2 linked regions of the Arabidopsis thaliana genome follow. The protein of the gene in region 1 interacts with the protein of each later gene in a biochemical or structural test. Each region holds a gene or a part of one and is shown on either strand. Other genes may lie near its edges.

Evidence for each region.
Region 2: the proteins of ASIL2 (region 1) and MRLK form a complex in vitro, tested with the Arabidopsis thaliana proteins (one study listed by BioGRID).

Annotation. Positions count from the first base shown.
Region 1 is NC_003074.8:4,706,268-4,711,085, forward strand, and holds ASIL2 (sequence-specific DNA binding transcription factor), read right to left. Parts: upstream 2,910-4,818; 5' UTR 2,355-2,909; coding exon 1,023-2,354; 3' UTR 535-1,022; downstream 1-534. Other genes in the region: AT3G14190 (uncharacterized protein), read left to right, coding at 4,640-4,706, 4,791-4,818. UniProt on the Arabidopsis thaliana protein: Transcription regulator that may repress the maturation program during early embryogenesis.
Region 2 is NC_003074.8:20,816,414-20,821,333, reverse strand, and holds MRLK (meristematic receptor-like kinase), read left to right. Parts: upstream 1-1,816; coding exon 1,817-2,547; coding exon of another isoform or gene 2,548-2,659; coding exon 2,660-3,473; coding exon of another isoform or gene 3,474-3,542; intron 3,543-3,631; coding exon of another isoform or gene 3,632-4,260; 3' UTR 4,261-4,413; downstream 4,414-4,920. UniProt on the Arabidopsis thaliana protein: Can phosphorylate AGL24.

The sequences.
Region 1 (4,818 bases):
GCCCACTTTAAAAAAAAAAAAAGAATATTCATTTGTTACATTAATAATTTACTATTTCTTTAGTAATCACTACTTTTATTGCTAGATTTAGTTCCAAAAAAAAACTTTATTTTGAAAAAAAAAACTTTATTTTGAACTTTACTAAGGAAAAATCTTGATTAGTAATCCTAGTGATACCAATATATCATTAGATAATATCTAATCTATATGTCTAAACACACGTGGACCTTTGGAATCAAACTCTTTTCTACCTAAAACAAAAACAAAATTCAGAAGATTTCAAGATGCTTTATTTCTTACGTTTTCATTATTGTATTCGTTTCAAAAAAAAATAAGAATAGTGCAAGTTAGAATGATGTTACGGTGGGACTCGGAAGATGGTATTTTTACTCAAATATCATGATTCACCTTTCGATACATGAATATTAGCTTAGTGCGGAAGGTAAAATTGTGAGAAACATCTATGTGTAATGAATTTGAATTGACTGTCATTTGTTTAGTACCTATAAAATGCCAAAAGGCAAACATCATAGAAAAATAAATAAACAGACCAACGAAAAGGTTTCTTGCCTAACATTCTTCTTTTATAGAAGATCATCATTGGTGGTTTGAATGATGCTTCAGACACAAGAAAATCTAGCTCAAACAATTACTCAAAAGAAAAAGAGTTAAAAAAATGCTTTTAGGTACACATGCAAATCTCCAATGTCATAATAACCAAACATAGCTTTAAGATTTTGCGGTTGGATTGTGTCAAAAATGTCCTATGCCATGTTCTAACCTAACTAGTGAAACACAATCTAACTCAGAGATTAAGAGAAGTTCAAAAACGTGCACAAGAGTCTGCAGCAGAATGATCTCAGGCAATCTAGTGAAGTTAAATCTGTTCCATATGACCAAAGTTAAGAAAGATATGCAAAATATTAATACACTCATGAAGCCTAGATAAGTTTCAGTTTCTCTTTCAACAATTAAAGACTCAAATCTAAAATATATCAATTACGACACTGCATCACTAAATTCTAGTTATTACCCAAATCGTTGTTGTTGTTGACAATCGCATTGATGTTGTTCTTGCGGCTGTGATGATGATCATTACTGGTGTTTCCCATTCTCCTCCCATGTTGCTGCTTAAGTTGTGATATCTCCAATTGAGTCTTCACAAAGAACTGCATTCTCTGCAACTCAAGCTCCTTCAAGAACTTCATCCTCTCTTTCTCCATCTCAACCACCTGTTGCAGTTTCGCATTCTCTGTTTGCTCATAAGCTTCACCGAATCTCATGATTGCCCGAGTCAGCTCCCTCCATTTGTTCCCCACTCCATCACCATCTTGCTTCTTCTTCTCCTCCGTCTTCATCCTCTTCGACAGAGGAGGAGGTGGTAAACTGTCACCGGAATCATCTGACATTGCTGCTTCAGATTCCGAGTCTGAATCAGAAGCGTTCCTCTTCCTGAAACGCCAGCGTTTCGACTCACTACACCTTTTCACCATCATCCCTTGCTGCTGTTGCTGTGGCAGTGTCCTACCTTGCTGTGGCAGAGTCCTCCCTTGCTGTCCAAACGGAGCTGAACGGCTACTCATCGGAATTCCCATAGGTACATTGACAGATCCTCCTCCGCCTCCTCCACCACTGCCACCGAAAGAAGCAGCTGAGACTCTAGCCGTAGCTCCAATTAACCGGTCAAGATTATTGAAAGGCGGTGTTGCAGCCTTAGCTTGCTGATGGTACAGATTCGAACGACTTCCCATTGGAATACCCATAGGAATCTTATGCAATCCTCCGACAGGACCGCTGACTCCAGAAGTTGCCGTCGGGATCTTCGCCGTTGATCCAATCAGACGGTCAAGCTTGTCGAAGAACACCCATCTGCTACGGCCACCGCCGTTAGCGATTCTCACCTTCTCTTGTTTATACTTCTTCTTCACCGTATCGATCCTATTCTTACACTGTATATCAGTTTTGGGAATTTTACCGTAATCCTCTCTGCTGCTCACAATCTCAGCCACCTCTTTCCAGTGCTTCTGCTTCAGATTCCCTCTGCTAAGCTCCAAGTATCTCTCACCCCACGCATCAATCAACACAGCCGTAGCTGCTTCGCTCCAACAATCCTCCCTCCCGCCGCCGCCGGTTGGTCTCCCACTGCTGTTATTCCCTCCACCGCTGGCCTGAATCGGAAGCAGCGCCAGAGCCAACGCATCCGGATCCTTCTGCGACGAATTACCCGGAGGAGTCAGAGAATAAGAAGGCGGACCTGCCGAAGCCACCGTAACCGTGATTCGTCCCGCCGGCGGGGAGGAAGACGGATCAGGTGAATCGGAACCCTGAGATCGGATGTCTTCATCGTCCTCCATGGAATTCGATATCGCCGGATCTGAGTCAGAAGCTCGTGAAAGAGGGAGATAGGGTTAGGGTTTGGGTTAATATTCTGTTCGGGAGGGGTAAACGGGAAGGAGACGGCGTCGGTGAGTAGAGGGGACACGTGGAAGGACGTGAGAAGATACGGGGAGATGACGTGGAATGACGTGATTGGTAGGTCAGAGGTAAGATTCCGTCACCGGTAAAGTTGCCGGCTCGGTTTAGGGGTAAAAGATGGGTTTGTATCGTAATTTCCCCATTTCTTCGTAATCCGATGAGGAAGTGTATTGACGGAAAAGCCCATCTAGTTTTACTATAATTACCGGAACTATCCCCGTGAACCATTTTTCCGGTGATGTACCGAAATTACCCTTAGCCTAACCGTCAGTTTCAATATCGGTCGTAGACTTTTTTTAGTCCGTCGATAGTTTCCAGTTGTCTTCCTTCGTTGTCTTGCTTCATTCGTTAAATCGATTCGAATTAGTCTCTCTTTTAACAATAAGAACGGTGACGTGGATGTTATTTACTTTGGGCATGGGTTTTTATTGGGCTTTCCATACGCTACGTTAGCATGTTATCACTTAGTATCATTTTTTCTTTTCACCATTGTCAAAGATACAACTTTAAACATTCCAGAAATACTATGTTTCAAAAAGACCTTATATAATCTTCGTGAATTGTGAAACAAACAGAAATTTAATATTTCTCAAATCTCAAAACACCAAAAGCGACCATTATGTTATGTACACAGCAAATATATATATACAAAGAAAAGTAGTTTGGGATACTTCTTCTTCTCGTAGAAATACCTTGTAATATTTTTCAACGGTCCAATGCGTTTAGCACAATCCTGCAGTATTACCGGACGTTAATTAGATATGGTGGTACTAATGAAAGCGATAATGCGTTGGATAAAATGAAGTATAGTTTGAGAGGAAAGAAAAGAGAGGGAGATCAAACCAATCGCAAGCATTGAGACTTGTAGCATGTGTTTCACTTGGTGTTCCAGCTGCATACAAATGATTTTGGTAATCATTAATTTACAAATCCATAATACTCTCAAGCTAATAATGATTATGGATGTCAAAATAAAAAAAAAAAATAATAAAAAAAAGCTTATAATGACTATGAACATATGTATCACCTTGCAAAGTCTTTAATTTACATGAATATATAGGGTTTTAACTGCTCATAACACAAGCATAGAAGATAAAAAAAAAGTGGATCAGAAAGGATTTTTAAAAAAGGTAACATAAGAGTCAAAGGGGAAACGGGGTTGCTTGAACGGTCAGGAGAATTCGGGACACGTTTCAGATCCACCATCAACTTCCGGTTGGCACTTTCACCGGATATGTGGTTTCTCAACTTCCCGAGACCATTTTCCGGCGTTGGACCGGCCAAAGTTTCATCCCACAACTTGTGCGAAAAACCCATATCTCTGATCAAATTATTAGAAGGGTTTTTCTTGTTAATTGTCTCTAATGTGTTTTGAAAAGAGTTTTTTTTTTGTTAAGTCTTCTTTATGTGAGGATAATGGTTTTATATAAGGAACAGGAACGAGAAGCGTTGAATATCCTTGGTTAGACTAATTATATACACTTTACCTATAATTTAACCTTCCAAAATTAAGGAGATTTAATCAAGGATGATGATAAATCTAGCCGATAAGAAGATAACTTAGAGAAGTGTGACATGTTTTGCTTCTATCTTACATGATAGTTTGATGCCGTCAATTTGATTTATGTGATGGGCCTGTACCTGGGCCAATTCTTGATTAGGCCTGCATTAAAATATTCTGCCAACGGCTAGAAACTTTTTCTCTTCTTCTATAAATTTACTTTTTTTGGCCTAATCCCGGAGGTTCTTCATTATTTCGTCAGAACAACATTGAAAAGTTACCGTTAAACACTCTAAGCGCTCTTCTTCATCTTCTTATACACTTCTCTTCCAACAAGAATCTCACCAAGAAACTTCTTCACTTTTACAAAGGTAATCTCTTTCTTCCTTCTGATTTAGGTTCACATTATAGACTGTTCTTCTTGCGATTGTTTGTTCTTCTTTTCGTATGTCGCTACTTGATTCGTTCTGGGTTTCTGGGGTCTGTGGTGTTAAATTTGCTTGAGGATCGAATTGGGTTTTGTGAAAAAAACGATCTTTGTTTCGATTTCGAGTTGGGTTTCTGTTACCTTTTTTAGGGTTTCTAATTGCTTAAAATCGTCAGTTCTGGAATCAAATCTTCGTTTCTGCAATTGGTTCTTTGATGATTCACAGTTAAAACCATATGGCGAACATGAACGCTCTTCAACAAATGATCTTCCCAGACGAGAACGCTCCAATTCATCGCAAAAGTAGTTAATCTTTCTCTACTCTCTTTAAATCATATTGCTTTGAAACAAAGATTTAACATTTTCTTTCTTGGCTATTATTTACAGAGTCTGTCACTGCTGCTTCTGTGAAATC
Region 2 (4,920 bases), about 16 Mb from region 1:
CTTTCCTAACTAGTATCAATCTGCTAATTTGCTCATAGTTCCCACTTTGTGAAATATAAAACTTATTAACAGATTTGGTGGACATGAGGATGATCCGATTATAAAAGTAGGGCATTGTTAGTTGGTTTATTGTTCACAAAATTAGGCTTTGCTTTGGGGTTCGAGGTTGATGGTTTGAGTACAGTTTAACTTTGAGAGATTGTTTGGACTTTATTTTTCCCGGGGCTAATATCTAATTGCTTTAGCAACAGCTTCATCAGCATGATAAAATTCGCCTTCGGAAACCATCTTGTTTCGATTCCTCCAAACCTTATGGCTTGAGAATTACTAATCTTGTGATATAGTATTTACAATACATGACATACCATTTGAGTTCAAGGTAAGAGTGTCTCCAGAATTTTGTTCTTGCAACCACAGGAGTGATATGTCATTATAGACTTCATTATAGAGATGACTTGTTCATAAGAGAAATGGTCAGGTTTGGTATATGTTCAGAAAATGTGTTTGAAGTGAAAAATGTATATGCAAGAATTTTTAAAAAAATTGAAGTTCAAAACCTCCACATCTAGTATCCAAACACTTTAAACACGTGTACCAGCCTTATGTTAAAAAGGGCAAAGATAGATCAGCGTCAACATAATAACCTCGTACGGCACAACCCTTCCCTTCTTTTCTTTGTTTAATTGTAAGCCAGGAAAAGTTTCACTTTCAAGTTTCAAAGTTGTGTGTCTGCTTCTTCTGAAACTGTACTACTTTATTTACTTTCCATTTGCGAGGGCATTTTAGTCAGTAACCATAAATAAAATGGCTTGTTCATTTCCTTTGGGCTTCTTTACAAGATCTAGTGATCCAATGGCTTGTAGGTCCCACAAATATAGCCGTTAGGAGGAGAAGTGAAGGAGCGGAGCGGTTTGTTGTTCGTGTGTCGTGTCCATTAGGCAGCTCCGACGCATTAAACGAAGCTGGTCTGCAAGAATAAAATAAAATTATGTTGTCTGCTTTATTTGTTACTTTATTCGGAAGAACAATACTTTGATCTCTTTCCTTAGATTTGGAATAAAATTAAATAATGTTGACCTCACATACAAACAACTAAGAGCTATAAAAAAAAGATTCCAAGAAAACAACTGGTAAATTTGAATGTAAGTAATATATTACTGGTTCAAATTCGAAGCATGATAGTACTCTTGACAAATCAAAATTTTTGTTTTTGTAATACTAGTAAATTTTTCATCTTTGTCAGAACCAACATGTTTGTATTGTGATTAATGATTTTTTATCGTTTTTTGATACTTAGTTAACAAAATCTACCTTTATGTATTAGTAATTCCAAATTCCCAATGAAATCCATATACTAGTATTTTACTAAACACTGTTAAACAAAATGACATGAGCAAGAGCAACCCATCGAACAAAACAAAGTGTTTTCAAAACACTATTAAACACAAGTAACTAATATGAATAAATGAAACTAGCCGTTGGAGCCCATTTACTAATATTAGGCCAGAACAGAGAGATCCACTGTTCCCACCCCCCAACCTCTTATTACCATCACCTGATCTTTGTCTCCCTTCTCTCTCTTTCTCTCACTTCTCTCTCACTACAAGATAAAAGAACACAGACCAAGATTCTCTCTCTCTCTCTAAGATGGTCACGTGCTCTGTTGTTCTTTTCCAACGAAACCCATCTCTCTCTTTACAAAACTCTTTCAAATCCAAAATCTTTCCCTGTTCCATCCTCATCACAACTACTATTCACCCATAAAGAACTCCAATTATCTTCTTTCTTCTCTCTTCTTCTTCTTCTTCATCTTCTAATGGAGTTTATCACCCAAAACCAAGCTATTACTTCTCTGAGTATGATCAACACCGACATTGATCAACCTAAGGCTTCACTTCGAAGCCGATTTCTCCTTCATCTAATCATATGCCTCCTCTTCTTCGTCCCTCCCTGCTCAAGCCAAGCCTGGGATGGTGTAGTGATAACACAAGCTGATTACCAAGGTCTTCAAGCAGTTAAACAAGAACTGATTGATCCAAGAGGCTTCTTGAGAAGCTGGAACGGTTCTGGATTCAGTGCTTGCTCTGGAGGCTGGGCTGGAATAAAATGTGCTCAAGGTCAAGTCATCGTCATTCAACTTCCATGGAAGAGTCTTGGAGGTAGAATCTCTGAGAAAATCGGACAGCTTCAAGCTCTTCGTAAGCTTAGTCTTCATGACAACAACCTTGGAGGTTCGATTCCAATGTCATTGGGACTCATTCCTAATCTTAGAGGAGTTCAGCTTTTCAACAACCGTCTCACTGGCTCAATCCCTGCTTCTCTCGGTGTATCACATTTCCTTCAAACGCTTGATCTCAGCAATAACTTGCTCTCTGAGATTATTCCACCGAATCTTGCTGACTCTTCTAAGCTTCTTAGGCTTAATCTCAGCTTTAATTCACTGTCTGGTCAAATCCCAGTGAGTCTCTCTCGGTCTTCTTCCCTTCAGTTTCTTGCTCTTGACCATAACAACCTCTCTGGTCCAATCTTAGATACTTGGGGTAGTAAGTCTCTTAATCTCCGTGTCTTATCTCTTGATCACAACTCTCTCTCTGGTCCGTTCCCATTTTCACTCTGCAACTTAACTCAGCTGCAAGATTTTTTCCTTTAGTCATAATAGGATCCGTGGAACCCTACCCTCTGAGCTAAGCAAACTCACTAAGCTTAGAAAAATGGATATTAGTGGTAACAGTGTTAGTGGCCATATCCCTGAAACCCTAGGGAACATTTCTTCTCTTATACATTTGGATTTGTCTCAAAACAAACTCACCGGAGAGATTCCTATTTCGATTTCTGACCTGGAAAGCCTGAACTTCTTCAATGTCTCTTATAACAACTTATCTGGTCCTGTTCCTACTCTCTTGTCCCAAAAGTTCAATTCCTCTTCTTTTGTCGGGAACTCACTGCTTTGCGGATACAGCGTTTCGACACCATGTCCTACTCTTCCTTCACCGTCTCCTGAAAAAGAAAGGAAACCATCCCACAGGAATCTGAGTACCAAAGACATCATCCTCATTGCGTCTGGAGCACTCCTCATAGTTATGCTTATCCTTGTTTGTGTTCTATGTTGCTTGCTGAGGAAGAAAGCCAATGAAACCAAAGCCAAGGGCGGAGAGGCTGGACCTGGAGCTGTAGCCGCAAAGACTGAGAAAGGAGGGGAAGCTGAAGCTGGAGGTGAAACTGGAGGGAAGCTGGTTCATTTTGATGGACCAATGGCGTTTACTGCAGATGATCTTTTGTGTGCAACAGCAGAGATAATGGGGAAAAGCACTTATGGGACTGTGTACAAAGCTACACTTGAAGATGGAAGTCAAGTAGCAGTGAAGAGATTGAGAGAAAGATCACCAAAAGTCAAAAAGAGTTTGAGAATGAGATTAACGTCTTGGGAAGAATCCGGCATCCGAATCTCCTTGCACTCAGAGCTTATTACTTAGGCCCTAAAGGAGAGAAGCTTGTCGTCTTCGATTACATGTCTAGAGGAAGCCTTGCCACGTTTCTCCATGGTAAGTTTGATACTAAAGTCTTAAAGTTAAAGACAATTTTGCTTTACAAGTACCATTTTGTAACTCTGTTTTCATATTTGAAATTGCAGCAAGAGGACCAGATGTACATATCAATTGGCCTACAAGGATGAGCTTAATAAAGGGAATGGCTCGAGGCTTGTTCTACCTTCACACACACGCAAATATCATCCACGGAAACTTAACATCAAGCAATGTGCTTTTGGATGAGAACATAACCGCGAAGATCTCAGATTACGGTCTCTCAAGGCTAATGACAGCAGCAGCAGGATCCAGCGTGATTGCAACAGCTGGTGCGTTAGGTTACAGAGCACCTGAGCTCTCTAAGCTGAAGAAAGCCAACACGAAAACCGATGTGTACAGCCTCGGTGTGATCATATTGGAACTGTTGACTGGGAAATCTCCGAGTGAGGCCTTAAACGGTGTGGATTTGCCTCAATGGGTTGCTACTGCGGTTAAAGAAGAGTGGACTAATGAGGTTTTTGATTTGGAGCTGTTGAATGATGTGAACACAATGGGTGATGAGATTTTGAATACACTGAAACTGGCTTTACATTGTGTTGATGCTACACCATCAACAAGACCTGAAGCTCAACAAGTGATGACACAACTTGGAGAGATTAGACCGGAAGAGACAACAGCAACAACATCAGAACCGTTGATTGATGTCCCTGAAGCTTCTGCTTCCACAAGTCAATAGAAAGAGTGGAGAATTTTTGTAGTGTGGAAATGTTGCAGAGTAGTAGTTGATTTCTTTTGCAATTCTTTAATTCTTCCAAGTTGTTTTTTTGTTCTTTGTTTGTTTCAGTGTTTTGAACCATTTCTTCATCAGTTTATGTTTGTAAATAGTGTCTCTTTCATCAAGTAGTCTCTGTCTTTTGAGCACAGTGAAAAATTTGGGTTTTGAAGAAGGTACTACTAGAAATGAGTTTCACCATCTACAGTAAAAATTTAGGTAAGTTTTAAAGCACCATTTACACCATATACTGAAAAGGAGAGGACATTGAGAAGATTCAAACAACTAACCAAAGTCCAACAAGAATGAAAGTTTAGGTACCTATGTAAAGAATGAAAATGCTCACACATTTGCCAAAACATAAACACATAAGAGTACAAAGATACGCACTAGCCAGAAAAATGTAAACCAGTATATAATCAAAGTTAAAGCAACAGCCAACAAGTGCCAAGATTTCATTTTTAGAAGATGAAATGAAATGGATTTCAAAGATGGAATTCTTTTAATCTCAGGAGAGAAATTTGAGAATTTATAATTTTTCATGACTAATCAAATTGTTAAGGTTCGAGATTATTTAAATCCAATAAAATTTATATTAAAAAAAATTAGTATCACTCATAATAA